Drosophila melanogaster: one gene and its partners. The protein of the gene in region 3 interacts with the protein of the main gene of each other region in a pairwise test. Each region holds a gene or a part of one and is shown on either strand. Other genes may lie near its edges. The genes, in order: CG13630, msi, CG13157 and eIF4G2.

What was found.
Region 1: the proteins of CG13157 (region 3) and CG13630 interact in a two-hybrid assay, tested with the Drosophila melanogaster proteins (one large-scale study listed by BioGRID).
Region 2: the proteins of CG13157 (region 3) and msi interact in a two-hybrid assay, tested with the Drosophila melanogaster proteins (one large-scale study listed by BioGRID).
Region 4: the proteins of CG13157 (region 3) and eIF4G2 interact in a two-hybrid assay, tested with the Drosophila melanogaster proteins (one large-scale study listed by BioGRID).

What each region holds. Positions count from the first base shown.
Region 1 is NT_033777.3:24,714,721-24,722,429, forward strand, and holds CG13630 (uncharacterized protein), read right to left. Parts: upstream 4,645-7,709; 5' UTR 4,562-4,644; coding exon 4,408-4,561; intron 4,339-4,407; coding exon 3,601-4,338; intron 3,543-3,600; coding exon 3,310-3,542; 3' UTR 3,217-3,309; downstream 1-3,216. Other genes in the region: CG13627 (uncharacterized protein), read left to right, coding at 330-887, 998-2,365, 2,427-2,588; Polr2L (RNA polymerase II, I and III subunit L), read left to right, coding at 2,898-2,992, 3,076-3,184.
Region 2 is NT_033777.3:25,511,849-25,520,506, reverse strand, and holds the start of msi (musashi), read right to left. Parts: upstream 4,390-8,658; 5' UTR 4,158-4,389; intron 2,185-4,157; exon of another isoform or gene 2,035-2,184; intron 1,247-2,034; 5' UTR 885-1,246; coding exon 778-884; intron 1-777.
Region 3 is NT_033778.4:12,412,695-12,421,056, reverse strand, and holds CG13157 (uncharacterized protein), read right to left. Parts: upstream 5,014-8,362; 5' UTR 4,603-5,013; coding exon 4,185-4,602; intron 3,901-4,184; coding exon 2,915-3,900; 3' UTR 2,826-2,914; downstream 1-2,825. Other genes in the region: CG8834 (uncharacterized protein), read left to right, coding at 1-410; CG42782 (uncharacterized protein), read left to right, coding at 1,763-1,903; Cpr49Ah (cuticular protein 49Ah), read right to left, coding at 6,204-6,764, 6,984-6,995.
Region 4 is NT_033777.3:23,814,646-23,823,174, forward strand, and holds the start of eIF4G2 (eukaryotic translation initiation factor 4G2), read right to left. Parts: upstream 4,593-8,529; 5' UTR 4,336-4,592; intron 4,175-4,335; exon of another isoform or gene 3,967-4,174; 5' UTR 3,582-3,966; intron 2,386-3,581; 5' UTR 2,367-2,385; coding exon 596-2,366; intron 462-595; coding exon 324-461; intron 271-323; coding exon 1-270. Other genes in the region: CG34355 (uncharacterized protein), read left to right, coding at 6,885-7,101.

The DNA of each region.
Region 1 (7,709 bases), on a different chromosome or scaffold from region 3:
TAAATATATATGTATGTATATTTATAAATGCGAAGCTACTTTGTTTGGCTCGTTTGCTTAAGCAGCTTTGGTTAAGTAGCCAATGGCAGGCGACGTGATAAAATTTTAGAAAACCGCCAATTTGTTCAAATTAAGGCCATTACAGTTTTGTTGCTGTCCAGCGATTACAAGACCCTCCTCCTTCCTCACCGCCCCTTTTTTTCTTCTTCGCCTTTGCCGGGCTTAGAAAGTTTTTATTTCTTTCGGCGTTTTGTTCGATGTCTGTATGTACGAGTAATTATGTTTTTGATTTAATGGTCTTTGACATTGTCCCATCCCATCCTCGCCAGCCATTTCTGCTGTTCGCACTGCTCCTGGCGCTGGCTAACTGCGAGCAGCGTCCACTGGTTTTCACCAACTGGCCACCGAAGAGCTCCAAGCAGCTGAGTCGTCCCGCCATTGGAGCTGGAGGTCCTGGATCCGCTGGAGCGCCTGGAAAGCAGCGCACGCTGGTCGTCCAAATACGCAGCGATCAACCGGTGCCCTTGGTACTGAAGGGTCGTCCTGGACATGGAGCGCACAGCCATGCCGCCCATCTGGCCCATCCGCATTCCGTGCATCCTGCACATGTCCTGTCGCACGCCCATTCACATGCCCATCTACACTCGCATCCGCTGATCCATGTGCCACATCAGTACCAGCATCAGCACCTACGCGGACCACCTCGTCCCATGAAGCTGAGTGGTCCGTCGCCCGTGTACCTGAAACCAGCTGGATCTCTAAGGAAACCACTGAAGATCAAACTGAACAATGTGAAGCCCAAGACGAAACCCACATTCGGATACGACAAGCCCTTTAAGTACGAGAAGCCCACTGCTGTGAGCTACAGCGAGCTGCAGAATCTGCCGGTAAGTGGAGTCCATTGAAAATGTCCTGCTCTTAAGATATCCTTATACTGCACATGCCCCCCACTCCCCTGAACATATAACATAACTCCATTCATGCTGATCCCCCACAGCTGGACACGCACAACAACTTCAACACCGAGCACTTTGCACCCATTTACACGGTACCCGCACCGAACCTGGCCGACAATCACCTGGACGTGGAGGAGGGTCATCTTGACACCTCCTACCTGTACAAGCCTCCTTCCCAGACCCAGATCCAAACACCATCCTCCTCAGCCCGTCCCCAGACATATTTGCCACCGAAGTACAGTGTGCATGAGGACGAGACCAATGACCAAACCATTCGTGATCCCATTTCGGGTTCGCAGAAACTCTTTGCCCCAGATCCGGATCCCTCGCTGCCCACCACCAAGATTCGCCCCGCCACCGAATCTTTCAATACGCCCAGCAACAACAAACCGCTGCCCGCCGACGTCCAGAGTAACCATCTGCCAGCCCAGCCATTGGTTCAGATTGTGGGAGCCCAGACGGCAGCCCAAACGGCGCCAGAGATCTATCCCATTCAGTATGCCCAGCCGGCGGTTCACTCCCAGTCCTTTATCGCCGCCATTCCGGCTGCCCACATTCCCATCTATAATCCCACCTACCTGGTGACGCAGTCCAACCAACTGTACTCGGCCCACAAGCAGCAGCTTTTCAAGCCCAGCTCGGAACCGGTGGTGGAAACGGGTTACGTGAACGCCGATCTCACCCAGGAGGTAGCCAGCAATGGACAGATACTGCAGGCAGCCAAGGATCCACATCACAACATCCATCCTGTACTTGATTCGGCGCCACAATATGCTGCTCTTATTGCCGCTCCGGCACTGGGTGATCCCAATGAGGGTGCCTACGAGACGGCCTCCTTCCACCTGCCCAATGTGGCGTCAGCGGTCACTGCCTCCGTTCCGGAAGGTGGCTTCGTGGTGTCCAACTTCTATGGCCATGCCCACGACTCTTCCCAATTGCTGCAGGCCTACGCAGAGGAGGAGGCACGTCGACAGCAACTGGAAACAGAGCAAGCCGCCATTGAGCTGCAAAAGCAGCAGCAGTTGCATCTGGAGGAGCTTAAGGCGCAGGCCCAGGAGCAACAGCAGCAGCATCAGCTGCATCTGGAGGAGCTGAGGGCTCAGGCGCAGTACCAGCAGCAGCAACAGCAGCAGTTCGAGGAACTGCAGGCACAGGCACAGGAGCAACACTTGCAGCAGCAACACCAGCAGCATCAGTTGCAGCTCTTGCAATTGCAGCAGCAGCAACAGCAGTTGCAGCAACCAGTGCAGCACCATCCGCCGCAGCAGCTGCAACAGCAGCAGCAGCAGCAGGTGGCTCAGGATCCAGCAGCAAGTGCATTCGAGGAGCACCAGCGATTGGTGCAGCAGCAACTTGGCGCCAACACGCCACTTCGCATCTTTGTGCCCGACGAGGAGGCCGCCGAATCGGTAGGTAAAATTAGACAAGAAATTCTTCCGTATGCTAACATTTGAGACTTTCCTTGTATAGCGACTGCAAAAGAGATCGGATGATGTGAAAAAGGGCACGGTGGAGGATGTGTCCAGTGCGGGTCGGAACGACGGCGACAGCGAGGAGTCAGCCAAAGATTTGTTCGAGGTATCCACCTCCGTCGAAGTGGCCGGCGAGCATCTCACGGCCAGCAGTAATTAGTTAACGCACTTTTAGTCTTCGACGCTGTTCAAAAATATTTATTTACACACTCATTTGTAAAAAACGCATTCATGTAGCGAGCAGTCGGTAGTTAATAAAAATAACCATTAATTTATTCAAATATTCGTTAGCGTTCTTTTTGAATGGATATAAGTTTTTGTGTTATCGATACATTGTAATGCTGGTGAGATAAAAATACAACTGCACTCTGGTCACACTCATGACAAGTAAAAACACATTTTACCAAAAACATTGTTGTGATTGCACATTTTTCGTGATTTAACTAAGAATTAGAGCCTGATCTACAAAATGATTATTCCAATCCGTTGTTTCACCTGCGGCAAGGTCATTGGCAACAAGTGGGAGTCGTATTTGGGTCTCCTGCAAGCGGAATACACCGAAGGGTAAGTCACGCGGGAAAGTCTCCTTTCCACGCCGCATTTCATCATATAATATATATATATTATATCTTACAATCCAATCCCAGAGATGCCCTGGATGCTTTGGGTCTAAAGAGGTACTGCTGCCGTCGCATGCTCCTGGGCCACGTGGATCTTATCGAAAAACTGCTCAACTATGCTCCTCTGGAGAAGTGAACGGCACAATGGAAACCATCCAAACTGGACTTGGGAATAAAAACTCTAGATTTTATTGTAAAATTACAAATTAAAGCTTGATCGATAGCCCTAGAAGTTATGTATTAGCCCAAGTTGGTCGACCCTCACATCTTGTCCATGAACCACGGCTGTCCGTTGTTCTCGCGACGCTTGGTGAGAATCTCGCATCCGGTTTCGTTGACCAGCAGTGTCTGCTCAAACTGGGCGGAGTACAGGCCATCGGCGGTCACAGCAGTCCAGTCATCTGGCCAGGTTTCAGCCTTCTGGACGCCAACGGAGATCATGGGCTCGATGGTGAAGCAGTGGCCAGGGGCCATTACTCCTACGGCAGAGTTTTCTGCAAAGTAAGGACATTAATAATATTCAAAGTACTTTTAGCCAGCTCGAAAACTTACTGGCATAGTGAGGCACATTGGGAGCTGTGTGGAAAACACGGTGAATGCCATGACCGCAATAGCTGCGCACCACGCTGAATCCATGTGGTGCCACATACTTTTGGATCACGTTGCCAATATCGCGATACTTTTCACCCGGACGCACGAACTCAATGGCCTTGCTGAGCGCCTCGTGGGTGACCTGCACCAGTTTCTTGTGCTTCTCCGAGACATTGCCCACAAAGAAGGTCTCGTTGAGATCACCATGGAAGCCGCGATGATAGACGGTCACATCGATGTTACATAGATCTCCATCCTGTAGAGGACGCTGATCGGGGATGCCGTGGCAAATCACCTCGTTGACCGATGTGCAACAGGACTTGGGGAAGTTGTAGTAGTTGAGGGGCGACGGATAGCACTCCCGTTCGATGGCGGCCTCGTGGACCAAACGATCCAGTTCGTCGGTGGTGATGCCCACCTCCACGGCTTTGGCACCCTCATCCAAGCATTCTCGACCCAATCTGCCGGCCACTCGCATGCCCTCGATCTCCTCGTCGTCCAGCACCTTAATCTTGGTGCCCCGCAGTGCTTCCTCCGAGAGTGAACGTCCTGCTGGATGATCGGCGTAATCTGGACGTTGTATGGCGTTCGGAACTGTTCGCTTGGGAGTCTGTGGGAACGGGCGGAGCTTGCCGGTGAAGCGGAAATGTGGCCATGGATTGTAGGCTCCATCCTGTTCGGCAGAGTTCGAGGCACCGGCTGAGTCAAGAGAATTATATGGTTTCATTGCAATCCAACTCATTAGGAACAAGACTTTCTAAAACTGACCTGCTAAAGCATGAATCGCCTTGTGCTCCTTCCAGAATCCTTTGAAGCACGGCTGCGAGCAGAAAAATGAGCCCTTGATGCCCAACTTTAGGCAGGTGGGACACTGCAGGGTCGCATCCTTGCCGCAGTTGGTTGTCTCGCACTTTTGAGTCATTCTATTTCAACAATTAATGCGAGAAAAATTTCCGTGCCTGCCAAAAATAGTTTAACACAGCGTGACCGCACCGATAACGATAGAAAATACCTGGAAGCTTTAAAATAAATACCTTTTTATACCATTATATGACAATATATAAGCAATATGGCTTTTTGGGAAATTTGCCTTACGCTTCAAGCAAAATCATAATTCTATTGGTTTGATATTAAATACTGTTTTCTGATTAAACATTAAAAAAGTTGATATTAAATAAATACCAAATCAATGTTTAAGAATGGCGCTACATCGATATCCGATGTTTTCCAAGCACCGATAGCCTGGGACCAGTTCTGTTCTTATCGATACGTTTGTGCCAGGGTTGTTCGTCGCCGGCTGTAACGGGCATTAGTTTAAAATTGGAAATAACTTGATAACCATTTTATGTGTATTTAACCATTTAAAATGTTACTATTATGGTAAGTGATTCGTAAATAGTATTCATATGATAATTAACATAAGAAAAGAGTTAATAAGGGCTTTCCTTACAAATGGTTTAAAATCGTTCGAAATTTGAAAGTAAACAAATTAAATATGTAAGTTCTTCGCGGAGATCTTTGATCTGGCTAAGGGACACTGGCCCCGTGAATTCGTGGCCTTTGTTTTCGTCCGTCGGGGCGGCAGTTCAAACGCAGCCGCCTGTTGGGCACTTTTCCGCAGTTGTTCTCGGCGCATGCTCTTGGTGGGAACAGTTTGGACTTGGACTCGGTTTATCTGTCTGCTCTGTTTATGTTCTCAAATCGCGAGCAACTTCGGTCGTGAACGGACGTGCTTTCGCTGTAAACTCGGAATCGGTGTCGCGAAACAAAAGAATATTGGCAACAAACTTGTTTGAGTCAAATGGCCAAACGCAAATATCCGCAAAGGGCAGCAGGATAAATTTATTGGCCAGTGAAGTGAGTGAGTGTCTTGTTTCGAATTGGTTTGGCCAAAAAAAAAAGAGGACCCCTTTAATATTTCTACCTGCAAGGGATGCTGAGATTTCGGCAGAGTTTCGCATCATTTGCGAGCGCAACTTAACTAACTCAACAAGTGAATTCAAGGGTTTTCGCTCCTCCAATTACTGATTTTGTCCTCGTGATCTTCGTACTCGATTGAAATTCGATTACGATCGTTTTGTGTGTGTGCATTGAAATCAGCGTTATCAGTGTCTGCCCTGATCTTTGGTTTTGCGTTGAACATGTTTATTATTATTCATTTCTCTGGTTTCCCGCGCCCAACGACAATAAGTTAAGTAAACACGCTGTTTTTGTTGAGGATGCTGCTGCTGCTGTCTGTTGTCGTTGCTGCTGTATATGTTGCTGCTGCATGTGTTACAGCTGTTTCCATAGTTGCTGTTGCTGCTGTCACATGTGTTGCTACTGTCTCTTGTGCTGCTGCTGTTTCCAAAGCGGCTGCTGATGTCAATGTTGCTGCTGCTATCGCGTATGTTGCTGCAACTTTTTTAGTTACCGCTGTTGCTGCAATCTCATATGTTGCTGCTGTTTCTATGGCTGAAGGTGTTGCTTCTTTGTTGCTGCTGTTGCTGCTGATAGGAGCGCAGCATTCGAATGGCTATAAATAAAAAACGGCACGCGGTGTGTGCAGCAGTGAGAATCCCCCGGCCCGTCTCCGCCGGATTTTCAGCACCACCAGCATCGCTTGATTATTATTGGTGGGTGTTCTGCGTTTTACGCGACCACACACAGGCACACTGCCACACACACACTATTATCTTCGCCGTGCGGTTTCCACTTTTCCGCTTTTCATTCCGTCGTTAAGACGCAGCACATATCTCGTCAATTGGCAATCTAAAGGCCGCCGGCATAATTAAAATAGAATCATTTCTGATTTCGCTTTGTGTCGCACAGACATGTGTGTCTTATTTTGTTTGTTTGTTTTTTCTTTTTTTTTTGCAATACGGAACAATTGCGAAAGTCAAGGTGGCCGCGAAAAGCCGCGAAATAGTAGGGAATTCCTATGCGATGGCAACGAACTCGATCTCTGTGTACCCAACTCATCTTGTCTGGCCTTTTATTGATTTATTTTTTCCCCGGCAGTCAGTCTACTCTTTTTTTATGTTCCCCTTTGTTTTGACCAACGATCCTCGATCTTCGACGGCAATTAAAGGCAGGCCAAAATGGTCCAGGAAGGCAGACATCAGCCTTAATTTGCTTTGGTTGCATTGCCTGCTCGTCTTCGGAACTTTTTCATATGCTGCGCAGTGCGTACTTTGTTTGTTTGTGTGCCAGCCGAATGGAAGCTGATGGAAATTTATGCGTAGAGAAAGGTGGAAGAATATGAAATGGAAAATATGAAATTTTTGAATTGAGTTTGTGGAGGAGTGGGGGGGGGGGGCTGGGGCGGTACACCTAACACTTCCGGTTGCCAGAATATCAACTTCCGGTGGCGTAGAATTGTTAGCGGGGAAATGCTTTGGCACAAAAGACGCATATTGATATTGTTGCCCAGGCTGCTTACGCTCCAATAAGCACACCCACACACACACATAGGCAGACATACAGACGGGAAGGTCCTTCGTCCTTGGGAGCCAGAAAACGCATTTCATTTTTGCTCCAGTGAGTTGGCCCTTGTCTGGCAAACGTTTTGTGGCAACTTGGCCATTAAGCATTTCGTGTTTAAGCAGCAGGATCTTTCCCTCGCCCTTCCCTCTCAGGACGAAGGACCAACAGGACAGTACAGCAAGGAATAAAAATTGCCCGCGTATGCATTTCTTAACAACATTTCTCCACCACCCTCCCCCTTCGCTCCCCAGCGACAACATTTCATTTCATATTTTGTGGCAGCAGCGCTTTGAATAGAATTCATTTGGATTCCCTTTCCCAGGACACCTCGTCCACTTCCTTTTGCCTTTGTCAGCCCCTGGGTTTCCGCATCCCACATCCCAGAACCCAGATCTTCCACATCCCTCATCTTCCTGGAACACGCACTTCAGACTGATAGCGCCTGCTTAACAAATTTCTGCTGTATTTTTCGGTTCTTGTTCTCCACTTTATTATATTCCGTCTTCTTCTTTTTTTGCCATGGCAATGGGGATTTTTCCGCATTTTTAGCTGTCGCAGCAGGGTAAAAATTAAAAGCGAATTAAGTTCGAGGAGCTGTGGAGGCA
Region 2 (8,658 bases), on a different chromosome or scaffold from region 3:
GCATAATGAGCATAGGCTTAATAACTGTAACTAAGCTATTTATAATTATTTTAGGTTATTTAAAACTGTTCTAAAATATTGACACTTTTTCTTGATTTGTTAACTGTAATAAGAAGCCCAGTACAGACCAAAATGAGCGATATTAACATTCCCAATATAAATATTTGCCTCAATCTCTTATAATAAATGAATGCAATTTACGGACAGCAACTTAGTGAAATTATAGGTTGGAAAATTTACCAGCGTTTCAAACGGAGGCTGAGTGCCTGATGAAAAATTTAAAAAGAAGCAAAGAGCAAAACAATTTTCATAAATATGCCACTGAGGCAAAAGTTGGGAAAAAACTGGGCGAAAAAAAATAACAGAGAGTAAAAACCTCAAAGCGCATTAACGCCTTTAATGGCCTTGAGACGCGCAGAGTTCTTACTTTTCAGCTACACGTAGAAAAAATCTTAGTAGATTGTATCGTTTTCTAGAAACTTTTAATCTTTCACAAAGGCAGAACCAAAAATACTGAAACAATTTAAGATATATATTAATCTACTTTTTCTTAAATAATCCTAAGGGCTTTATAAAGATAACTGTTTATATATCCGTATTGTTGCGCCTAAAAGTATGCAGCAAAGACTCGAAATGAAGCAAGCTGACTTTACGGACTCTGCATACATATAAGAATGTATACAACCAATTTCATCTAATCTCATATCAAAGATAAGTGACAATTAGTTTTCAGTGTAATATCTCAGGCTTTTCCGTCGTGGAAAGTGGAAAACTCACCTTAGATTTGGGACAGCCGCCGCTGCTGCCGCCGCCGCCTGCAGGGGCGGGGGCACGTTGTACGGAAAGGGCAACTTGGCCGCAACCGCCGGATTCTCGAACAGCATTCTCGCACTGTTTTGGGGGTGGTGCTGAGCCTGGTGGTGCTGAATCTGGAGGTGGGTGCTGCTGCCGCCGGGGGGGTTGATGGTGTTGTTGTTGGTGCTTATGTTGAGAGCGGAGTTTCCAAAGCAGTAAATTTTGCTGGTTTTTCGCTTATCCCAAAGACACACGCTGAGAAAATCACTTTAGGTCGCACCAAATACTTTGTTTTTCTTGAGATTTTTTTCTTTTTGCACTTTTCTGTTGACTTTTTGCAACTATTTTGTTAAATATTATGTATTTTATAACCGCACTGAATTATTTTTGTTTTTCTTAGGTAATACTCATTTTAATACCACCAATATTAGATGGCAAGGTTTCAGATTTTCTAGAAAAAAAATTAAGTATTATTAAACTATTGTTATAACATGTTTTATGGATTTTTTCTAAGAATGCATTATGTTATTTTATTAGTAAAAGTATATAGTCATGCAACTTTTTAATGTTTACATTAAATGTATTTGTCAATATTTGTGTTTTCATTGATATTTGTATCTGAAGCGCTTTTCCATTTCCCATAACATTGATTTGCATTATTGTTTATTAATTTTAACAATTTTTTTTGGCTTTCTGGGTTTTCTTTGGCATTTCTTTGTTTTGGCTTTACGCTTTTACTTTCGCTGTTTGGCATTCGCTTTTGCCTTTTGCTTCTCGCCTTTCAATGCTGAATTCTGAATTCTCTTTTGCCATTGCCGGCTTTTTCGACACATACACACACGCCACTGCACACACACACACACTAACACTCAAGAACTCACACACGTGCGTGCCGCTCTCAAAATGGTGATAAAATATTGTTGTTTTTGCCGTTGCGGTTTGATAATATTTCACACACGGCTTTTAATTAAAAACATTTGAGTCTTGGATCGCTTGCATAGTTTTTGTATAGTTCGCTGCCGGTTTTCGTATTAATTTTTCATAAATTTAATCGATTTGCTTGAACAAAAACACATGCACACGCATACAGAAACATAAATTCATGGCATAAAAACAAATTTCTGCGACGTCATTGAATTCGCCGCAAAAGAATATGCGAATATGTGAAAGAGAAATAAAAAACCAAAGAAGCGTCCCTCGACAAAAGAAACAAAAATGTCTTCGAGTTGAGTCACTTACACGCACACACACCAGTACGTTATACACACACTCACACACACTCGCTGGTGCAAATAAACGACGCGTGACGAAAATTACACGGGAAATATTCGCAAAAATCCACGAAATTCGACAATCCTTCCGCTTCGGGCAAGGAATTTTTTTTAACTAACGGTGAAGGAGCGGCTGCGAACTGTTTAAGGCGAGCTCAGCGAATTTCGCCGTGCTGCGCTGAAGCTCTGCCGCTCTCCCTCTCCGCTCGCTCTCCACGCTCTCTCTCTGGATTTTGGGACTCTCTCTGCAGGACGTGAATACTGAGCAGAAAAAGGAGCAACAAAAAAAGCTTGGATGCAACATGCGGCTGAGTCAGTTAATGACGTACCAACCTTTTTTTTTCTCCCCCCTTTTGTGTGTCTTTTATCGCGCCTCTACCGTCATCAAGCTGGTACTCCCCCCATAATCATTTCCGATATGCAGTTCCATGCAGTTTCCCCAGACAATAGGCCTACAATATAGCCATATAGTCGCATATAGCCAGCACACTGAGTCGCCGAACGAGCGTCTTTATAGCCCGCTTTGTTCTCCCCCCAATTTAAAGTGAGCTCTGGAATAGTGGAACACCCTCAACGATAACTCCATTATCTATCCTTCAAACATGGAAATGTTGAAGGTTTTTTAAGCAACTTTGCAGATTTTCATAAAATACGTATTCTTATAAACGTCGAAAAATATGATAAAAAAAAAACAATTAAGAGCTTACTTTGTAGCATGTATGCAACTAAATTCAGTATTTCCAAGTAATTGTTATTTATAGGCTCTAACTTACTGTCATTAAAGTGTAAAGAACAGAAACTATTTTATTTATATTTCGAAAAAAAAACCATGACTTATTTTTGAGCTGTCGTTTTAAACAATTTGCACTTTACTTTATTGGGAAAATCCTAAAATATATTTGTGGGTTACAAAATTGGAGCACTGACTGTACTTGACTTTCTGTGTTTATCTTATATTGTTTGCTCAGCTCGTATTTCTTTTAAAGCTCAGCTCGCAGCTGACGCATTTTGTTGATTTTGAATGCTTAAAACTGAGAAACAAAGAGTAATTGTTTAATTCAGTTGAAGGGAAGGATTGCCAGCTATTTCGCTTTGATTTATGTGAAATTTACAAATCAAATTTATTTCGGTTGGAAAGTGTTCAGTTATCGTATCTGTTGTTTAAGCTTAATTAATTTAATTGTCACATATTCCATGGGATTTTGAACTGTACACGGGCTTATGCGTGTTTATTTCTTTTAAATAACGACAATTTGTTAAATTGTAGTAAAATATTTCATTATCGTTAGTTCCCTAGAGCCATTTCTGATTTTCTTCAAATCTTAGGTCTCCTTTCAGTTCTTATCGTACACAACTCGTTGAGAAATACACAAAACTGAAACGCAAAATTGTTGTTGTTGATAAAACTGAGCTAGTCACCGACAACAACCACAGTAAACATTAACCACAGCTTGTAGTTTGATAATGGATTTTTCTGTTTTAAAAATTGATGGTTTTCTCCAGTGCACAAATGTTCACCAATCTCGAATCGAAATTTGATATAAATTTAATCCATTTGAATTGAATTTTGTATCAATTTATTAGTAAAGCACTTATTTAATTACACATGTTTTATTTAGTCAAATTACTGGGCTTTTTATCTCGAGCTGAGAGTTCATTGTTTTATATTATTTATACACACATATCTTGAACTCGTCTTTTGTATGGATTATCGGTCTCTTAGTCATAGCGAATTAAATTGCTTTATGTTTTGGCATTCATTAGTTAAACATATCATTAGTTAATAAACCATGAAAGTTGATTTTAGATTTAATGATAAATTTTGTTTATAATCTTAATAGCCATGAAATACATATTTTATTTAGCCGCTCAAGTCATTGATTTGAATAAAGCTTGATGGGTTGTGCATGCATGTGTAGAGAGATTTCGAATCGTATTTTTAATTAATTTGCATGCACTGGCATCCGTTTTATGGATGCGGTTTGTTCATTTAGCTTAACAATTTAACACGTAATTTAATTCAGTCATGCAACATGTCAGAAACAGATTTTCTTATTATTGTATTTTCTAGGGGCGACAAATAGGAATTACTTTAAATGCGCGGCAAACAAAATTCAAGCTTTGTTTGTTTGTTTATTTTCCATTAGCCCACTTCGGTTTCGATTTCGATTTTCGGCCCAGTCCAGAATCAAGTTAAGACCTGGCTTTATCTGCATGCACAAACGGAAATCAACGACAAAACGACGACGACACGATGAAAACGAATCCACGAATCGCTCCGCTTCGAATCAACTGGCTGTTGTAACGGTCGCAGGCAAACTGAGTCCGAAAGATACAGATACAAGTACAAGCGGCCCCCGCGGAAAAGTTCTCTCACCGCCTCTCGCTTTTTATACCTCTTCCTCTCTTTGTCGATCTATCTCTCTCGGTTGTTTGTCGTTTGCGGCAAGCATAATAAAATAAAACAAGTGGTCGAGTTTTCCAACTTGCAGATACCCGGTTTTTAGATACAATAAGTTTTAGATACACTAAGCTTAACTTCCCAATGATAAATATAATTTAAAAAATTACTTTAGGAATTTTATTTAAAAAATAGATATAATATAAAATATATTTTAAAATAATACTCTGCAAACGCAATATACTCTGGGAATTTCTGAAGTACAGGGTAATCCAAAAGGAGAGCGGAATCGTTCTCTCTCTTGCGATGCGATGGCAACAACCACCCACAACATAAGCGGTTCACTCGCCCCCACCACACCACCAGCGAAGGAACAAAAACAAGCAAACTCTCTCTCCCATAAACTGAGAGCGCGTTGTTGTTTGCGGCGAAGTCGCTCAAAAAACGCCATTTGGGGAGACAGCAACAACTTTTGGGACTCATACTGTTGTCCCGTTCGCACTCGAGCGCTCTCTAACTTCCGGTCCCGTATGCTGCGACGTAGTGTTGTTGCTGTGGCTTTTTCAGTGGGGAAATGAAAATGAGCATCATTTGGTATTTACTTGGTATTTTTCGGTACTTTAAAATTGTTGCTTAAGTGCAATAAAAAATTTAATTTAATTAATTTGAAGGAAATGCTTGTAATATTGTAATTTTTATTTAACACACACTTTATTATTATTTTACCTTTACCATTTTTATATGATTGTTAAACAACGACTTAATCCCAGTTTATAGCTTATTTTATAGCGTTTTTGTCGCCTGTTGCACCCACCGCAATTACCAAATGTCGGCACGCCCCCGCAAAATTCAAAATTTACACAAATTTTTTGCAAAATCGCAGACGGGCGCTCCCAAATCAGAAGAAAAAAATCTAAAACAATAATTTCAGCGGCTTATTAGACGGCCTAAAAACATCAAAGGCCTACCCATTCCTAAGCAAGATTTCATGAAATTTGCTCCTTTTTTTATTTTCTTTATAATTCACAACAAAACGCGCAACAAGCGCAACGAGTTTTCTGCAATCGAGCAGCTGACGGCGAAAAAGAGTTTTTTTCTGTAATATATTTTCCCTTATTTTGTTTGGTCCATTTTTTCATGTTGGTTCCTTTTTTGTCGGGACACAAGAAACTTGTTTGCAGAGCTTCGGGCGATAAAGAAGGAGAAATATATAACAATAGCAACAGCAACAACAGTGACTGAGGCAGACAGGTCAAAGGAGCAGTTTTTGCCCCTGCCACGCCTCCATTTCGTCTACATCTTAACCGCCCACCGCCTGCCACGCCCCCGCCGAAGCAGCAATAAATTCTGCCAGAAAGCGTCTTCGATTAGTTCGGAAATGGCGAGAGAAGTGACTGAAACGAATAAAAAGAAAATGTTCTTAGAAAAAGTCGTCATACGTCTTCTGGACTAAGAGATACCTCTTAATTCATTATAAAAGATTTTAGAATAAGTTATTGGAATTTAGAATTAAAAACAATTATACAACAATTATAACAACTGAAATATTTTAATACCATACATTTTAGATTATTGACAGTTACCACACTTTTTAATAGATGTAGATTGCCCAAAGACCCCAAGATCCATTCAGGAATACAGGACAACAGGACAAAATAAGCCATTGATCTATATCAATGGCAATATCTAGTCTGCAACTGATGTTCCCAGAGTTTATTACCGCTCAAAGGTAGAAATTTATAGCAAACTGCGCATTCAGCAAATTTGGGTCATAAAAGTAATTAGTGAAATCTGTTCCAGTACAGATTGGTATTTGTGGGTGGATTTTAATTACCGGCCAGAAGTTCATGAAAGTGCCAAGAAGTTTCCCACTACCCCGCCATTGGCTAATTGATTTAGCTTCCGTTTTATTGATCAGCAGAAAGGAGTGAAACCCTTGGCCGGCAGTAAAATCGAACACGTGGGGCCTTCTGGGGTTAAGGGGCAGAGGAGCAGGGTGTTAACCAGCAGCGGGCAACGTCGGTTATTGGCCTAATAATGAAACAGCCATAAAATTAAAAAGCGCTTTCAGAGATTTAGGGCTCAATAGAAGAAATATATGCAGCTTTTATGCAAGAATTATTAGTGAATATTAATGGGTATAAGTTTTTAGGCAATTAATTATTTTACAAATACCTATATACTCATGCCTTAGCCATTACAGTTACCTTTTTTAAATACTAGAATATTCCTTAATTTTATATAGTTATGAACACTTATGAACACTTCTTAAGTGCTTAGTCATACGAGGATGACAACAATTTCATTAATGCTTACGCTAGCAAATTTCAGTGAGGACCCATTCTTCCTCATTCCTCGCCGAGATTAATGTCCTCGGTGAGCCCTTAAGTCCGATTTGAGTCGTTAAAACTACTGCCAGATGAAAATTTTATGACTCTGCCATGGTCTTTGGTCCTATATGGTCCTTGGTGTCCTTGGTGTGCGTGGCATGGTCTTGTAGGTCGGCAAATCACAGTGCTGTTTATGCCCGTTGCTTGCGAATTGTGCACATAACAATTAGGCAGCTTAGGCTTCTCCTGCTTTTGCCATCGAGAAACTGAGAACCCGACTGTATGTATCCAATGCCATAAAAATATCAGGAACACATGTTGCCTGCCGCTGATTTTCTGCAGATTTAAGAGGGGGCAGTTGCTGCATGATATGGGGGCGGACGGCATTATACGGAGGGGCAGGCGAGATGCTGTCGTCTGCCAGGCATGCCACGTCTAGTTAATGAGCACGTTGCATCCGTGGGAAAGAGGCGTACATGCAGGATTTTTGGAAATGGGTTGTTCGTTAGATGATTTCAAAATCTTTCCGAAAATATCTCTATACAATCGGATTACATGTGGAATTTTTTCTCTCGAGAAATATTAGCCGCATCAGTAATTCAAAATTGTATACAACTTCGTGATCAAAAAGTATAAGGAAAGCATATACTTGATTTTATATTTCTTTGAATTCTTTCTAAATATATATATATTTTATATTAAATGTAGAGCACTTAAAATGCCTTTCAAACCGTTTTCCGCCTGAAATGTAGCAGTACAAAAGTATCTTTTTCCCAACAGCCCCAAAGTATGCAACTTTTTTCATTGTCCTTTTATTCCCTGTCTCTTTGAAATTCATTTGCCATATGGGGAAAAGCCATGAAAAAGGAAGAAGTGTGAAAGTAGTTGGGGAACTTTGGCAAAGTGTGGGTGTTGACCTTAACAAGCGTAATATCATCAATCAGTGCACAAATTTGCATTTCATTTTAGCCTATTTCTGGCGAACAAGGCTAACATACTTGCTGCCCCCCCCTTCGTAGCTATCTATATATATATCTGTATCTTGTCACCGATGTCCGCCTGGCGGTGACGCCGCATCAACGCGCTTCATCGGCCAGCGGACTGATATGTAAATCTCATAAATCATGCACACCTGTCGTCGATGGCAGCGACAGTTCAGCTCGGTTTTGCTCAGGTCACTCAGGACGACAAGGACATTGTCAGCAGACCAATGAAGGGTGGGCCAATTGTCCACCATGTCCAGTTTTTGCAGTGGTCAAGCCTTTTGATCGAGCAAATGCACCATCATTTGGGTAGTCTTTCTCGTAAAAATTTACTCTACAGACTGCGTATACAAGAATATATGTATAATTCTACCAGATACGGATTTTAAAATACTTTGTTATATTTAGAAAATATATTACTTTAACAAAAGTGCTGCCATAAGAGTTATGGAAATTTTAAATCGCAAAAAATAGCTACACAGTCCCTAAGCTTCCGTTCCCCAATCTTAAGTTGGCCATTGTAAAAGCGATTCTGGTCGGAACTTGCACTAATTGGTCGGCCACAACACCTGCTGCCGGCTATTTTTAAGGTGGCCTTTTTTAGCCCGGCTCTGAAGAGATGTTCAACTGGCAGTGGGTAAAAACCACAAATTTACATAAATATGCCACAAATCATAGAGCTGCGCCGTTACAGCAACTTGTGGTCCATGTGACAGTGTCTCTGGTTATTATGAATGCATAAAAAGCGCTCATAAGTTCATTTTTTTCAACTACACTTTCATTGCAATTAAAATACCGAAAATAAAAAGGGAACAGAGCTTAAAAAAATATTTGTATACCTAGGCCATAAAAAATACCAAGGAAAATTTATGTGCTGC
Region 3 (8,362 bases):
ACTTCGAGGGTTGGTTCCATACCGGCGATCTGGGCTACTTCGATGAGCAGAACTTCCTGTATATAGTGGATCGGAAGAAAGAGATCCTCAAGTACAATGGCCTTCACTATTGGCCCACAGAGATCGAAACCGTTATCGCGGAGCTCTCCCAGGTGCAGGATGTCTGCGTGGTGGGAATCTACGACGAGCGGGAGGGTGACGCCGCCGGTGCACTGGTCGTCAAGAGCAAGGGCGCCACCATTTCGGCCAAGGAGATCGTGGAGCATGTGGCCAAGCGATTGCCCGCCACCCAGAAGCAGCTGAGAGCCGGTGTCCAGTTCACCGACAAACTGCCCGCCAATGTCAATGGCAAGACCATGCGAAAGACGGCACGCGACGTGTTTGTCGCCCTGCGCGTATCTGGAAAGTGAGATACAAGTGATCCGCGCGATCGAGTATAGTGTTAATCACAAGTGCCGAGAGATACTTGAGACACTTACTATAAGAGGAAAAACAGCTCAAGCACCCTTACTGCGAAGGGGTTCTCGACGAGAAGGGGTGACCTTTGGATCCCAATAAATTTTATAGTACCTGCGAATGGTTATAATCCCCATTTTATATTTGTTTTTGAGACCGTAAGTTTCGGGTTTCAGAAAGAATACTCCTCTGTGGTATGTTAGGCGTGATAAGCGTAGTCACGAGGATTAATTATTGTGGCACTAACATAATCAAATATAGTTAATTGATTAGATAGAATTACAATATGATTCATGCACGTGTCATCAGCAAACGTTCATCTAATGAATCTTATATTATCTATTGTTATTCCAAAGGAGTCAAAGCGTATTTAAATTTAACATCATCTTATCACTTAAAATTACCGAACCACCTGAGATAACATGAGATATGGAGCCTGGGGCAGATGGTGCTGGTCTTATGTTACTTGAAGTTTTTGATAAATACGATCTATGCTTGCTCAGACGGCCAGAAGTACTTTTGATTTCAGCTGGAAAGGAAAGCTCTAAGCATCAGCATCTATGATGAGCAGCAGGGCGATGCTGCTGGTGCACTGGTGGTGAAGCGTAATGGTTCCTCAATTAACGCCGTGGAGATTGCGGATCATGTGGCAAAGAGACTTCCCTCCATTCAAAAGCAGCTCCATGCTGGTGTCCAGTTTACGGATAAACTACCAGCCAATCCCAATGGAAAGACACTTCGTCGGTTGGCGCGAGAGGATTTCAATGCGAAAAAGGGGTCTGTGAAATAAGATTTCAGTAACCCTCCTGGTAAAATTAAAAATTAACTTATAGTGTCAAATGAGAATTTTGCTGTACAAAATTGTTATATTGTAGATTAAAAACAAGAGAGAATGCTATAGTCCATTTCCCTGACTATCAGATACACCTTACTTGTCTGGAATAAATATATGGGAATTATATTAAAAGGTGTGCCTGGTTCTAGGACAATGATATTATTTATTTATTGCTTTTCTTTAATAGCCAACTTTAGCCATTTCATGATGTGATTTGCACAATAATAGGGTGTTGAAAAACTGAATAGTACTTAAAAAAATAATAAAATAATATTTAATAGTTTTTGCGACGAGAGGAATATATTTCAGTTTAGTAGGTGTGTTAAGCTGACTGTTTTAAATTAAAAGCGTCTTTCGAAACTGCTATAAATTGTAAAATTTGAGACTCAGTGATTTAGTGATTAGTGCGATATAACACAGTGAACGTGTTTACTTGAGCTTCCTTTCAACATTATCAAATCCAACTTTACAATGCTTATCAGCCAATATTCCGGTTTGAAGCTAATGCTTTTGATGGTTGGACTGGGAATGGCATCCTCGTATGAAATTATCAGACAATGTCCTGTACATTTCGTTTTCAAAAATAACTATTGCCAGTATCAGCCCATGTAGGGTTAAGAATTAATAACAAGAAATAAATAATTTCTGAACATTAAAGAATATTGGCTGTTTTAATAACAGCATTGCTTACTACTTTTCGAACTTTGTACTGATTAACAGGAAGGGCGCACTTATTGTCACTTTACAAGGACACTCTATTGCTCAGAGCCCGGCAGCCAACCCATAAATTTGAAAGTTCTTTCCCTTTTAAAACAATTTCACTTGGGTGAGAATGTGGCTGTCATAAATAAATGTAATCATAGTTTGGTTAGGCTTCTGGTAAGCTTAAAAATTAGTCTGGAATATATGTATATATTATACTAAAATCTAAAGCTGTTAAATATTTTCCCTACTTTCCGGTTCTAGGAGATTCTTTTTGCAAAGGTTTCTACAATTGATAATAATGTCGTTACTTTGATGCAATGCTGGCTTTCACAGTTAGGCATCATCTGATATGATCCAATCCAATAAATACATTATGTATATAAAAATAAATTTTGATTGATTCCATACACTCTGACGCTTGACTGATTAGATACGAACAATTCGTAGTAAGCATGATATGCATTCGATTAGATTCAATTTACTGCATTTTTGGATGGGTTATCTTTACACCTCGACTGGATGTCCTACCTAGTTATATAATTATTTCATTACAGTTCTACAACGAATAGTATTTTTCTATGAATGAAATTGTTAATCAAAAAATCCATAGAGATAAGGAATGCTTAAGAATTCATTATCTACATAAGTGCAGGTCGTTATCAGCTTTTGTTTACGCCTTCGACTAATCGACTAAAGGTAGGATACGAAAAAAGGTAGATTAGAGAGTTATTCTAAATTCATTGAAATATATGAAAAATATATTCTTCTTAGAGATAAACAAGTTGATGACCCATCAATTTCCACCCAAAATAAAAAAACAGCTGAAGTGAATTGTATGGGTTGGCTTAGGTTTAATTGTTAAGTAAGTGTAATTAGCGAATAGCCCCTGAGTTGTGTTAAGGTCAAGTGATACTAAATTTAAATACTATTTTCTCGCCGGAAGCTCCAAGCAATAACGAGGAGCACCGCGAGCGTGCCAAGTGATCTTTGCGGGGATCCGGCGCCGGAATCACTCGGTATAGCCACTTGGGTTGGCTGTATATCCATATCTGCATCTAGTATCTCCTGCTGCCTCGTCACCTGTTCTACCTGCGGACGAGCATGACCAGGACGTATCTCCACCTTGGGAAGGGGGAAGCAGTAGACCCTTTCGACCTCCACCAACTGGGGCACAATGCTGTCGGAGGAAAGCGAAGTTTCCGAGACGGTGAGAGGCACACATATGGTTGGCTCCTCAGAGGCATTTCGATCCTCGTAAGGAATGCCCACCCGGGTTATATTCAGCGGCACGGTCTCTGGAACACTCAGTTCGCTGTGCATCTGGGCGGAGTTTAGAGAATCCTCGTAGTACTTGTATTCGTCCACAGGATCAGAGACGCTCTCGTCGCGCCGGTCAATGCTCCCCTGAATGCTCCCATCTATCCTTTCGGTGCTCACCGTAAGGGATGTGCTATCGATGAAATCAGTGGGCCAATTCAATAGACCCGCAGTGGATCTAGTGGGCTGTGTGGGAACCGGTGGATGCACCACCGAGGATTGCATAAATCCTGGTACCACGGAGCTCGTTGCAGGTGGAGCTGGCATTGTGGTATCGTAAGGATACGGATACGGCAGGGGCAACCAGTTGTCGTCGGCGGAATTCTTGGAATTCCTTCGATTGTCCGTCGTCGTCTCCACGGACTCGTTGATCTGCTTGGATATTGCCTTCAATATGGGTTCCGAATCGTTGACCCTGGCCAACTCGAATTGTTGTGGCACCTGCTGAGTACTGATGCGCCGGCGTCCATATTTCTCTGCTGAACTTTCACGACTGACTGGTCGGGAATAGGCAGGATTCTGGTAGCCACCAGGGGCAATAGGAGCGGACAGCTCTTCGCTGGAACTTGATGGCTTGGCATCAATAGCTGCGGCATAGAAGTATTTGAGACATGAGCAAACAATTTCGAAACAGAGACCAAATTAAACGCTACATGAAGATCTTTTTAAAAAGATGTTTAGGTTTCAATATAGTTATCATTAATATAAATCAATAACATTAGAGATTAATAATTCAGGTTATTGAAAATATATTTAACCTATTAAATAAAAGACTAAGCAGACTTTAGTTTCATTAAATTCTAGCAGCGTTTGCTTGTTTTTAATGATACTTATATTAATAGGAAATTCACATTCGAAGTTGAATTCTTACCATCTGCCGGCAATCCCATGAGCATGGCTTCCAGGCGTCCGTAGACCCGCTCCTTGGGCTGCGGTTCCGAATCGATTTTCGTGTCCACCTTCTCGGGCCTCTCCGGATGCTCTGGCTTCCAGTTGCCGTACACCACCGCCTCCTGACTGGGCGTGGCCGGCAGGGGGGCGGTCTCCTCGCGCCACAGTGGAATGTGGGTGTGCACAGTGGAACTGATGGGGCCTGCAGCCGGCACAATTGGCCAGTTTCCCAATGCCTGAGCAGGTGCTCCGCCGACTGAAACGGGATTTTGCATATCCGCAATGCGTATACGCCCCCTGGGACGGGGAGGACCCTGCAGCTGCTGTGTGGCAATTAGCTGGCAGCCACTGAGGGCTATCAGCGACCACAGTAGACACTCTTTCCAATGACTAACCATATTTAAATTGAACACGTCTATCTTCTTTTTTTGCAGATGCTGTGCTACTTTTCAATTTTACAGTTCGTTTTTATAGGTTTATTGATTCATTCTCGTTTTCAGCAGCCACAATAACAATCTATTGTTTAATTTTTGGCTTCTGCTATTTTTTCTTTGACGTTGCTTCGATGTCAATGTAATATTCACATCTACAGTTCTTCACATCTTCACTTTTCTGTCGATCAACCACTTCACTTCCCCATTTCTTTTCACTCCCCACAAACAAATATTTGTATTATCGCTACCAGTTTTCGGTGTAACGCTCTTGCGAATTCGATCTTCAGCTTTCTTATAGATATTGTATATTGTAGAGGAAGTATCTCTTTTGCTGGCGATTTGCGATCTGCACGCGACGGCTTGTAAACGGCAACTGAGTTGGCCAAATCAATTCCAGCACCGCACAGGCCCACAAGAAAGATTCTTTCTAATCACGGGCCATAGAAATTTTCCTTTGTTCGGCTTCGTTATTATATGGTTTTTTTTTCGTCTTAATTATGCGCAAGAGCGTTGAAACTTAATGGCGAATAAACATTCTTCGGGGCCCCGCTTTCGGGGTCTGTTTCTACGGCGGTGGTGAAAATGCAGCGGATTTGATTTATATTCAGCTAGAAATAACCGCAGAGTATAGTCAGTGTGTTTACGTTATATGCAAATATGTTAGGTGGCCAAATCGTTTGCCGTTTTGTGGCCCAAAAGGTTATTCGGTTGTTTGTTCTTTCAACCTGATGACAGTGGTTTTTGGTTTCAATATTTGCGTAGCCAAGGGCTACTCCATTCGAAATGCCAAACGGTAAAGGTAGCCTACGTTAAATACAATAATTGGCAGAACGAAGAGGTTTCTCGGCGCGAAATCGGGGCTACGCCAGTAACCCATTCGTGGACCACTTCAACTGGCTTCCTCAGCCTTTCCACATGCAACGCCTGCCCGCGAAGACAAGTCGAATGGCACTGGAAAATCTGTCGTAATTATGCAACTGGCAACCAGTCGAGAGACTCCTCTCGAAAGAAAATTTCCATGGCGGCGATGTAGAAATATGGAAAATTGGAAAACCCAACCTGCATGGAATGGGATCAACAAACTAACGTAATTCGATCTGCGAAGTAAATAATAAAGCAACGAAAGATGCACGGTAAATGGGGAAATACTTTGAGAAAATAATGAGGACCCATAAACGCTTTGTCACGTTTGTCTGAACATCGTGGATATGGTCAGCTGTAAAACGGAAAAAAATAATGCCAGAAAATATGGTAAGTCCATCATCAAGTCGGTTCGGCATAATGGAAACGTTAGTTTACTTTTATTGTTTCAAAGCAGCGAAACTTTCACACTCGTTAATAAAATATTATTAATTTGATTGAGCGCCCCTGTCTGTTGGTTTTATGGTACTTAGTGGGAAATTCAAAAGTTATTAAACGATTATCATTCAGTGTGGTACAGCGATTTGGATTTGGAAGAGCTTGCAGAATGAAATCACAGTCTTGTTGTTGTTGATATAGAATGCGAAGAAGTTACGTTTCCAGGATCATCGGTTCGGTGGGGGAATGGAATGGGCGGAGCTCGTCTATTGGTTCTCCAGCAGACCGATGTACTGGCCATTCTGGTTGGCCACGCGTCGCTCCTCCAGTTTCCTCGCAAAGTCTGGATCTGTCTTGGCCCTCTGCTCCAGACGCTCCTGCTGCAGTTTAATGCCAGCGTAGATCTGATCCAAACCCTTCTGTATCTCCTCGGGAATAGCCGGCGGAGTAGGAATGTGATCACCTGTGGCCCTGAATCCATTCTCGTCGGCCGTGTACTGCACATTGACCAGAGTTCCCTCGGGGGATTGGTAGGAGTACTGGCCATGCTGAACCAACACCCCATTTGGATTGGTGTCGAAGTCCTTGAGGAAACCGGTTTCCTCATGAATGATGCTATTGCCCGTCTCGTATTCTGTCTTGTAGCTTCCATCGTCACTCTGCTCCTTGTTGTACTTGATTATGGGTATCCAGGTGCTGGTCTCTCTGTGATCTTCATGACGATGATGATCTGGTTTGTCATCGCGTGGTATGTTGTTCACATTTTGGTGCTGATGTTGATGGTGGTGTTGTCCTTGGCAGGAAATGGCCAACAGCACAAGAAGTATCTGAAAGGATAAATATTAGCTTAAGCTTACTAACACATGCAAGTCATTACGATTTCCAAACAAAGTAATCACAAAAAAGAATATTTAATCCTATCCTTTAGATGTAATGTAAACCAATAAATTTTATATTTGAGAAGATCGAACTGTTGCAATGTTTGCCAATCATTCATCGAGAATCACTTGACCGATTTTATGTGATTGGTTATGTGAACCACTTACGAGCACTTTCATTTCGCAAGGAGTCTCTGCCGCTTATCCACTGTATTCCACTGATTTGGCCCGCTTTGTCGCCCGTTTGGCTGGCACTGATCGCACTGGCTAGTGAAAGCAGCTCCGTTAGACACTGTGCCAAGCGCGGCCCTATTTTGGTCTTATATAGGCGATTCGCTCTGCTCCGACCCGATCCGATCCTCCTGTTGCACTCGTGTCCATACCCACACAGGTGAGCCTCCATGGGAGAGCGTGCATTTGCTATTTCTGCTGGTGATGGAGTTTCTAATGGAGATGAAGTTGCAGATGGATATGCAGTTGCAGTTGCCGATGAAGATGGGAGGGGATGGGAGTGGAAGTGGAATTTGCCATGGAAGCTCTTATTTTTTGTTAGCTGTCTGATCCGACCGATCGGTAATTGTTGTTCGTAGGCTCGACGACGCTTAAATGCTAAAATCGTAAAAAAAAAAACAATTCACTGTCGCTCTCGTTTGAGGCTTTTTCAGAGGCTGAGGCAGTATGATTTTAAAAGGAATCCAGAACTATGACAAACTATAAGGATAAAGCTAACATTCCATAATAATTTTGGATTAATAATTTGTGTTCGCCTTTTGTAAAATTTGATACCGTCATTATTATATAATGAAAAAAAAACGAAAAAATTGCAAATGCGCACACAGTAAAAAACAAATTATTTCTTTTCGCAAAGCAAAATCAGCTCTAAAAATGTTTAATTTTAATAGCTTCTGACCTTTTCCCTTTTTCTCATGCCCTAATCTTGGGATACTTTATTGAAATAACAAGTTCGTTTCCTAAGTCTTTTGTTTTAACGCAAGAAAATTCTTATGAAATGTTTTTTTTAAACATTTTATATTAAAAATATCTTATCTATTAAACTTTCTTATATATTACTTATTTATGAAGAGTCGTTTTGCCTTGTTAAGCCCCTTTTATACCGGCACCCATCTTAGCCCGGCTTATTGTCGCTGTTCGTATTTGGCCCGCTCGTAGGCCCGGCTCAAATGTCTGCGAAATGTCCGTCCCCCGCCAGCGCGTCCGGTCGTTCATCTTCGCAATGCCGTTATTTAGAAACATGCCAGAACGAGTTTTTTTTGCTTTGCTTTCGTTGTTGACTTGGCCAAAAGCGACAGTCGGCTCTCTCTCTCTCTCTCTCTTGCGACTGAATCGCATTTGAAGTGCATCCAAGATGCTGCTCCCTCGCGGCTTCGGTTTCGGATTCATTTTGAGATTCGCACTCGGACTTAGATTTGGATTCGCATTCTTGTAATTGCGGCAGTTTGGCGGACCCAATACCAACACCAGCGAAGCGCGAATTGTTGTAACAGCCAAAGTGCCTGGCAGATGAGGCAAGACGATAATTGAGTTCA
Region 4 (8,529 bases), on a different chromosome or scaffold from region 3:
AGGCACCCGAACTGGTCGTAGTCGAGGTGGCGGCTTGAATACTCGACTTCCTGTTGGGTGAACCCGTTGTTGGCTTAACCGACGCAGCTACAGCTGTGGTAACTATCGACTTGGTCGACTTCTGCTGGGCGACACGCGAAGGTGGCGGGGGTGTCGAGGGGCCAGCTGGTGTTACCATCGACTGGCCTCTGGACAGGATGGAGACGCCTGGGCAACCGCTGGCTGCTGCCTCAGCTACGTCATTCGCTATGGATGCTGGCGTAGCTGTACCTGTGAGCAAACAATTTAGTCGACGTTAATGGATTAATTGTCACGGAACATACTTTGTTTGTTGGCCAATTTGGGACGTTGCTTTTTGGCTTGCTCTTGGAAAAGCACTGGCTGCTGGCACGTATCGGTTGTATCGGGCAAGTCCGACTGTACTAGCGGCAGGCTATTGTGGGTCTCCGTGACATTGTCCACTGCAAGAGGAATCATTAGACTTTGACACTTGAAGCCCGGCTAACTTCAATTCAACATTTCAACGATATTGAGATGCTTCCCTTCGTTTACAAATACAATTCTAAAGAAAATTTGGACGTTTTTATGAACTCACCGTCACTATATTGCCAGAAGCTTAGATGGTCTTCTGCGTTGCCCGAGTGGGCTAGTATGTCTTTTACAATTACGCTGATCTGATCTTTATCCGTTGATTTGGGTGGAGGCGATGGGTGTACGTCCTGACCGACAGCGTCTTTGCAGTACACCGCTTCTGGCACCTTTTCCAAGGAAACGGACTGCTTAAGGGAACTCGCCGGCTTCACAGTCTGCATCTGCTGATCTACCATTGCGCCAGACAATAACGATGACCCCGAGCCAGAGTCCATCAGAGTGGGCGCCTGGTACAGGCACAAGGTACTATTGTCATCCAGAGCTGTGTCCAGATCTGTGTGCTGTGTTAGTGTCGAGTTTGAGTCCTTTTTTATAAAAACCGATCTTTTCCATCCATCCATCACATTCTCCATGGTGTCAGGATGGATGATGGGAATGGCGTATTTGCGCTTGCATACCTTATCGCTGTTGGCCCCCAGTTGCGGTGCTGTTGTTACTGACGGAGTTGGAAGCGAGGTGGTTGAAAAACCACTGGCCACCGCGGGAACTCCAGTCACACTTGGGACACTAGGTAAGGTGGTGGCGCTGTTGCTCTGCAAGTGCGGAGCAAATGTGTGCAGCCCGCCTGGTGGTTGGGGTGGCGGCGCCTGCATTCCAGCCGGAGCCAAAATAGGGGTCGTCATCCCGGCGGGCGGTCCCAATGCCAAACTGGGAATGCCAAAGTTGTGCGGCAGATGATGAAAAGCAGCAGCTCCGTTCAGTGCACCGCTGCGCGAGTTCATCATTGGAGCCACATTTGTCGGAGCGGGACGTTGGGCATTTCCTGGGGCCATGGTATATGCGGTAAAGTAGTTGGTATGTTGGGCGGTGGGAGTAGATCTTTGCCCTCCGCGCATATTGCCGCGATGTGTATTGGCACCACTAACCACGTTGTTTCCAGCAGAGTTTTGAGCGTTCGGCCCAAGTTGGTAGTAAGCTAGTGTCGGCGTTTGAGCAGCTCCCGGTGCCCCGCCTGGACCTTGTTGTTGAGCAGTGGGAGGAAGCTGTTTCTGTTGTGGAGGAGGTGGCGCAGCCGCATAGAATGAAGCTCCAGCCGCTCCGTTAGTGGGAAAGGTCACAGCTGGCTGCATGCCCATCAGAGGTCCGGTCTGATTAATTGGTATATAGGTGGCGGAAATGTAGGGTCCACCCGCATTTCCGCCGGCAGGTGCGATCAGGCCAGCTGATTGTTGAAAGTGGGGTGGTAGAGTTGGGTTGCTCAGGGCACGAGGCATGTTTGACCCCGGCGCCACGCCATTTGCTCCACCATGGTGACCACCAGTAAGAGGATGTCCCAACGTGTTGGAACTGGCGGCGGCGCTCAGTTGGAGGGTAGCGCCGCCGCCGTTGGCACTGTTGTTAACCGCCGCGGAATGCGCGGCGTAGGACGGCTGGGTATTGTAGAAGATGACCGGCTGGTGGTGCGCCTGGGCCTGGGCTTGCACCTGCTGCTGTTGTTGCTGTTGGATGTGTTGCTGAAGATGAGCGGCGGCGACGGCTGCTTGTTGTTGGTGTTGCTGCTGCTGCTGTTGCAGTAAGTGCTGCTGCTGGTGGTGGTGCAGGCCGCTGTGGTTCGGGACGAACACTGCGTGGGACTGCTGCTGCTCCTGCTGTTGCTGGAGGTGATGGTGGTGCGAGTGCGTCGCCTGGTGATGCTGGGCTTGATGGTTGTGGTTCTGCTGATGTGTCGACTGTGGCCTGGTTCCCTTCCCACCCCCTCCCTGTTGAGGGAACATAGGAGGACCTTCGAAGGATCTGCACACGCATACAATCGCACCGTCACACGCACAGGCACACACGGAGAGTTAGGAAAACCGCGGCCAGAGCAAAACAGATGTACAAATCGTAATGTTAGTAAGATGGAAATGAAAGTGAAAATGGAGTTGGCGATGTGGAAAATGCTTGGCGTATTAGGTTTTCAGTCAAAGCCGTGAGTACATGCGAATGAGAGTTAAATCAAACGTGTGCAAAAGCAACCAAAAATGATCATGCAAATTATGTGTTTACATCTTATGACTAAGGGCTATTTTACAAATGCACTCCCTCTTTTACCCTTTTCTTTATTCTTTAATATTTCAATCAATTGAGCTCTTTAATTGGAATGTGGTGTATGATGTCACTCGCGGGGCGTGTATACATCCAAAATGCTTTCGAAGATGGCTCGACACCTTATCGCGCCGGTTTTATCAATGGACTAGTCACTTGCGCAGCCTAAATACTTGTACATAGGTGACACACGGTAACAAGTGGCGCTATTAGTCAGTACTGGCCTTAAAGCGGAACAAAACAAAGGCAGCCACAAAGAAGCAGCTGCCAGCGAGCGTAGGAGGTGAGCTATGGGCTGCTGTCGTCTTTATGGCTACAACCAGTTTGGCATTCCGTCAGCACTTCCATCGGCACAGTGGAGACCGCAAGAACTAGATCACTTAAAACTGTTTACGATATGATTTCTTTTAGTTATAATACTACCAAACGGAATTTCATTGTTGTTTTGCTAAGCAAGCGTTCAATGCTGATTGATAAGAATATGAAGACAAACATTGGCCAATATTCACTGTGGTGTTCTCTTTGGAGCTCTCTGCTGGCCTAGAAAAACCAACTCCGCTGCAGTTTGCGGCCAAGCACCTTCAAGCCAGAAGAAAACCAGTTTTCCAGCAGACGAAGTACGTGCATGGCTCTTTTCACTCCATGGCGAGGAAAACGAAAACCTGGCTGGCAGATAGGCTCACTTGTTTCATGTTTGTTTGTAAACAAAACCAGTTGGAGTGTGTGGGTGCTGCTCTAAATGGGATCGCGATCGCTTATTGGGAGTGCATTCGTACTGGAGGCAGTGTGTTATAGTAGTAGTAGTGTGTTATTAAACTAATAAACAAACAATTAATGTAAATTGCGTGAAAAAGCAAGCAAATACTAGAATGGGAGTAAGTTGTAAGTCAGATTTCGAAACTTACCGCTTCCTGTGCTTCGATTGGTAGATGTGATGATTATAAGGGTATTCGATTTATCCTATTTCTTAGTTCCTAAGGTAGACCTGCCTTTAAGCCTATCCGGCTTCCCTTGACACCTGGTCAAGCTCTACGCCTCCTCCTGCTGCTGCTTATTTGCTCCTCCGTTCCTTTTTCCTATTTCTCGTGGAAACTCCTCGTCTTTGTGGTTGTTGGCTCTATCCGGAATACTACAATAGCTCAGATATTCCATGTATAAAAATACTCCAATTCACTGTGATGCACATGCACATCTGCATTTGTGCAGACGGACGAGGGGCACGTACACGTACATGCGTACAAATATACAAAATAACGTACGGCTAGTGCTAAAATTTCACGGTAATTTGTTCTGTAATTAAAGGCGTTAGAGGAAGTTAAAACGTATGCTTAAATTTTGCAATTGCGAGGAATCAAAATTACAATATGATGAATATGAACACCAAAGCAGCGCCTGCTACGAATTTATTCCCTCTCCTTGTCCAGCTGAGCAGCCTCAGCCCCGGATTGAGAATGAGAAATGGGCAGCCAAGTGCCAATTCGTAATTTGACACTAATGGCAAGGGGACTTTTTGTAGGTTTTTAACCTTTTTCAGATTTTCAGGTAATACTTTTCCCCGAAAAGGCGAGGCGTTGGTTTATGTTTTTTTACCGTTTTGACTTTTTGCCGTTCGCTCTTTTTTTGCGCTCTCTCTGTCTCTGTCTGGCCGCCAGTACTTACCGTTCTGCTCCTGCTCGCTAGCACGCTCTCTCGCTCGCACTCCACACACAAAACTGAGGAAGGAAACAAAAAAAAATGCAGTTCCACGCGGGGAACACGCCAAAAAGTTGCTCTGGCACTGCGCCTTTACATTAGTGCATCGTCTGCTTCACCTCGTTATGTATACACGGCTCACTATCTGTTACAAACAATTTTGTAATGTAAATAGTCTGCAGAAACACGTCCGTTTCGTTTGATGAAATAAGAGTGACCGTTGCACGTAGGGATGGAACATAACTCGATGGCGGCAGCATCGATGTCTACGCAGCGAATATCGATTGTGAAAGTTCCAGAAATATCCCGCAGGAATATTATACATTTTAGTGCGTCCTCAAACCGGGGTGGAGAACTTGGATTCAAGCTTGGCGCGTAATATTTTGAACGTTCTTCATCATAAGAATAATCATTCTTTCGAAATAGAAAAATAGGCCTTATGCAGGTGTTATAATAACAATTATTATATAATGCGCATTGTGGTGCATGACGCAGAATATCATATAAATTCCACACATATTTCGCTGTTATTATTGTTTATTCTAACTTTACATTTTAATTTGAATGATATATTCATAATTTACGCATTCGTAGGACAGCATATGCGCAGAATCCTGTTTCCATTCCATTCGCAACTTCCGGATTGCCTCCCCTTAATGCTCTTAGACTACCCCTCGTGCAGAAATTGCAGTGTTTACGCGCTTGTAGTAAAAGTTTTGCTCTTTCTGTTTTGCCGGATGCGCAACGCCCTCCACTTCCCACATAATCCTTTACTCTGCGCCCTCACCTCCCTCTAGTATCCGTTTTTCCAATGCTATACCCTTCTCTACTTATTACTCCTTATCTCAGTATACACTATGGCCAAAACTTTAAAGTAAAACGAGTGCAAGAATGAACTCGGAGCCTTATTGCAGCCTAAAAAAATTATATACACATAGAGCCCACAAACAGAGTCTGAAGGGATTATTTGGTGGTTGAAAATGCAAAAAGACTAGACCGCAAATGCAAATATTTTAACTTGGCACAACGAAACCGCATACGGACTGTCCGTATTTTGCATTTTTTTTTTTCCATTTCAGTTGTGAAGTCATTTGCAATGCTTGTTTTCCTGTGCGTACTGTCATGTTTTTGTGGCCTTTGCGGTTGCACTAAAGATAGTGTGAGGACAACAGATGAGTAAATGGACGAGGCTCTTACTTTTTTTCAATAATTTTGCTCTCAGCACAAACATTTTGAATATAACGGTCGCTGAGTGCGCTACCTGAGCGGCAGGTTTTGACAATACAATTCGAAAATGAAATTGCAACACTTTCCGAAATTTGGATCAAAAAGATACGATTTTTAAAGTTTTATTTAAATTTTATACATTTTTCAAAGATAATATCGTCTTACATCTTATTAATTTATTTAAAAGTATACTTATTAATTGAATCCCCCTTAAAAAAAAAGCCTCTGCTTTTTGGTATATTTTGAACCCATAATGATTTAATTTGGTATTTCTTTCAGCACCGCATGGTATCTTTCGGGGACGCGAGTGCAGCCACACCAAAAGCGAATTCCTTTACTCCCGCTGCGGTCACACTAAGTCCGAAGCTTGATTCGCCCTGACGCGCGTAACGCTTTTTTCCCGCATCACTTTCCTCCACTTTGGCGCTGAAAAATTCTGCACAACAAGAAGAGAATGCACCAAACTGAAATTGCAACCGACTGCGACTACTGCACCTGAGCCGGTTACGAAATCAACTCTTATATTACTCATATAATTTTGGCATCCATGTAGAAACGAATAAAAATAGTGCGCGAACTGAAAACCCGTTAAAACGAGAATGGGCATAGCCCAAAATAAAACTTTTTCGTTTCTTTTTTACCGTTTATTTAACACAATCAATTAAAATAAAACCAAACACAAGATTTACTCAAAGTAAATCGCGTATAAGCTCGACTACCATAAATGTTAATGTGAAAATTGTGCAATAATTAGAGAAATTTCTAAAAGAAATTCATAAGTGCGGTATTCGTAAATTGCATTGTTTGCAAATGCAAAAAGCAAATGTTATGCAACTATAAGTTACAAGTTAAAACATACAAAAAGTAAACAGAAAATTAATAACCAACCGACAGTACATACAGATAAATGTATATATATAGCGAAGCAATGTGTGTATATAGAGCACTTTGAGACCTCGAAACAAGGACTTCGCCAAGGACTACGGATTACTACACTTTGCCGCCAAGCTCTTTGGCTGGCTTAAAGGAAACCCACCAAAATTAAGAAAACCTAATCTGAAACAAGGTCGAAGCGCGGAATTCCGAACTCCCACCTAAGCCCCACCCCCGGCCTGGAAGCACCTGTGCCCGAAAAACCAAAACCCCGGGCATTCTCACCCACGCACGCAAGCGCAGGATTCTGGTAACCGTCGAGGCATCCAAAAGTTCGATACGAGTGGAAAAATTTGGGAGCCAACGAAATTACTTTTGCTTTGATTCCGCCTTTTGTTTCAATCGCCCAGCCGAAAATGTGGAGGAAAGCGAGCAGGTTGGTCAGGGAAACCACCTCGTGGAAAACGCGTCGTCAGGGACAAGCGGAAGCCCCATCAGCAGCAGTAGCAACAATAAAACCATCGACAAGGACGAGCACGCCGATTGCCCACGGATTACCCATCATCATCACATGGTCGCAGCTCGCTATTGTTGCTGCTGTTGCAGTGCTCCTGCAATGCCACGTCTGTCAAGGTAAGTGAGTGGCACCCATCCTCCATTCGTGTGTCCCGTGGGTGTCCTTCGAAGTGTCTCTGTGTGGGTGCCAACGGACAGCGAGGGGTCACATATTAGGAGCGGAAAGGTCACCAATTAATACTGCAGAATCGGAAAGAAGACGCATAATAATAGCAGGGAATGCTGGTCTATTTTTATTCCAAATCATTCCAATTCATTTAATAAAAAAAAGTGGAGTTTGTTCAGTAATCCTGGGTGTTTTACAAATCAACTCAAGTTATACTTTATTGACTGCACAGCGCTTCACAATAATTTCCTTTCTGTTTACTATGTGACACTTTAATTAAACATTGCTCATACGACCTGTAGGCCAACTTTAATCCTCTCTTTGAACTTTAAAGATTCACAGGATTTGAACATTTTTAACATTTCGGTAGAATAGCTTCCATGCGAATTGAATTTATTGATGAGGCAGCGTGCAAAACACTTTCGCTTTTTTTTTTTGTTGGCATTCATTAAGAATGCTGAGATAAATGCTATCTTGTGGCTTGTCGGCACATTCACCAGATGGCTCAATAAGTGCCAAAGCCGGATCACAAGTATGACGAATTTGGCCTTAGGCAAGAGTGGTTAAGAGTGAATACTTTAACGAAACCTCAATTAATTCGAGTGCCCCTTTTTTTCGCCAAACCTCAAAACCCTCGAGAGTTGCTCAATCTCAATTGAGGCTTGGCGAGTGCGAACTCAATAAAAGGCCGCATGTATCGCAGATGACTTAAACTCCGGGCCATGATGTACTTTTAATGAGTTTTCAACTGGGAAAGTAGCAAGTTGATGCATCATCTTCATACGTAAAGTTTTTCTTGTAATGCCATAAAAAACTTGGCTTATAGCTGAAAAACAAATGCCTGTACAAGCTATTAGCACCCATCACGAGGCTGTAATTAAAATCGAAAAAAATGTCTTGCAAGATTTATTATACAAAGTACTTGGCAAGACGGCTTTAATGGTTTAAGTTTTTTAAGCAAATACCTCAGTTGTATTTAGGTTTACCTTCAGTTCGTTTTCAGTTTTCATGTCATAGAAAATTAAGGCTATCTTGCAAAGAAAAAATATCCAAAAGATAAATGCCACACGATTTTCAGTGCATAAAGACTCCAATTATATCAATTATCACGTTAGTTTGCTTGCAACATGACACATTGCACGCTTTTAGAATTTAGGCCAAAAATCGTCACAGTCAAGATCATTATTACCAACTCGGCATTCCTTTAAGTAAGTTATAAACAACAAAATTCATTGGCATTCTTTTCGAGCTCTTCACACTAGTTTTGTTGTCTTTTCCCCCAATTTAGCATCGTGCGAATAAATTATGCAAATGAGCGACTCTAAATCAAAGCATACCCATTGTTTTGCATATTTTAAAACTATGGCTATGACTACTTA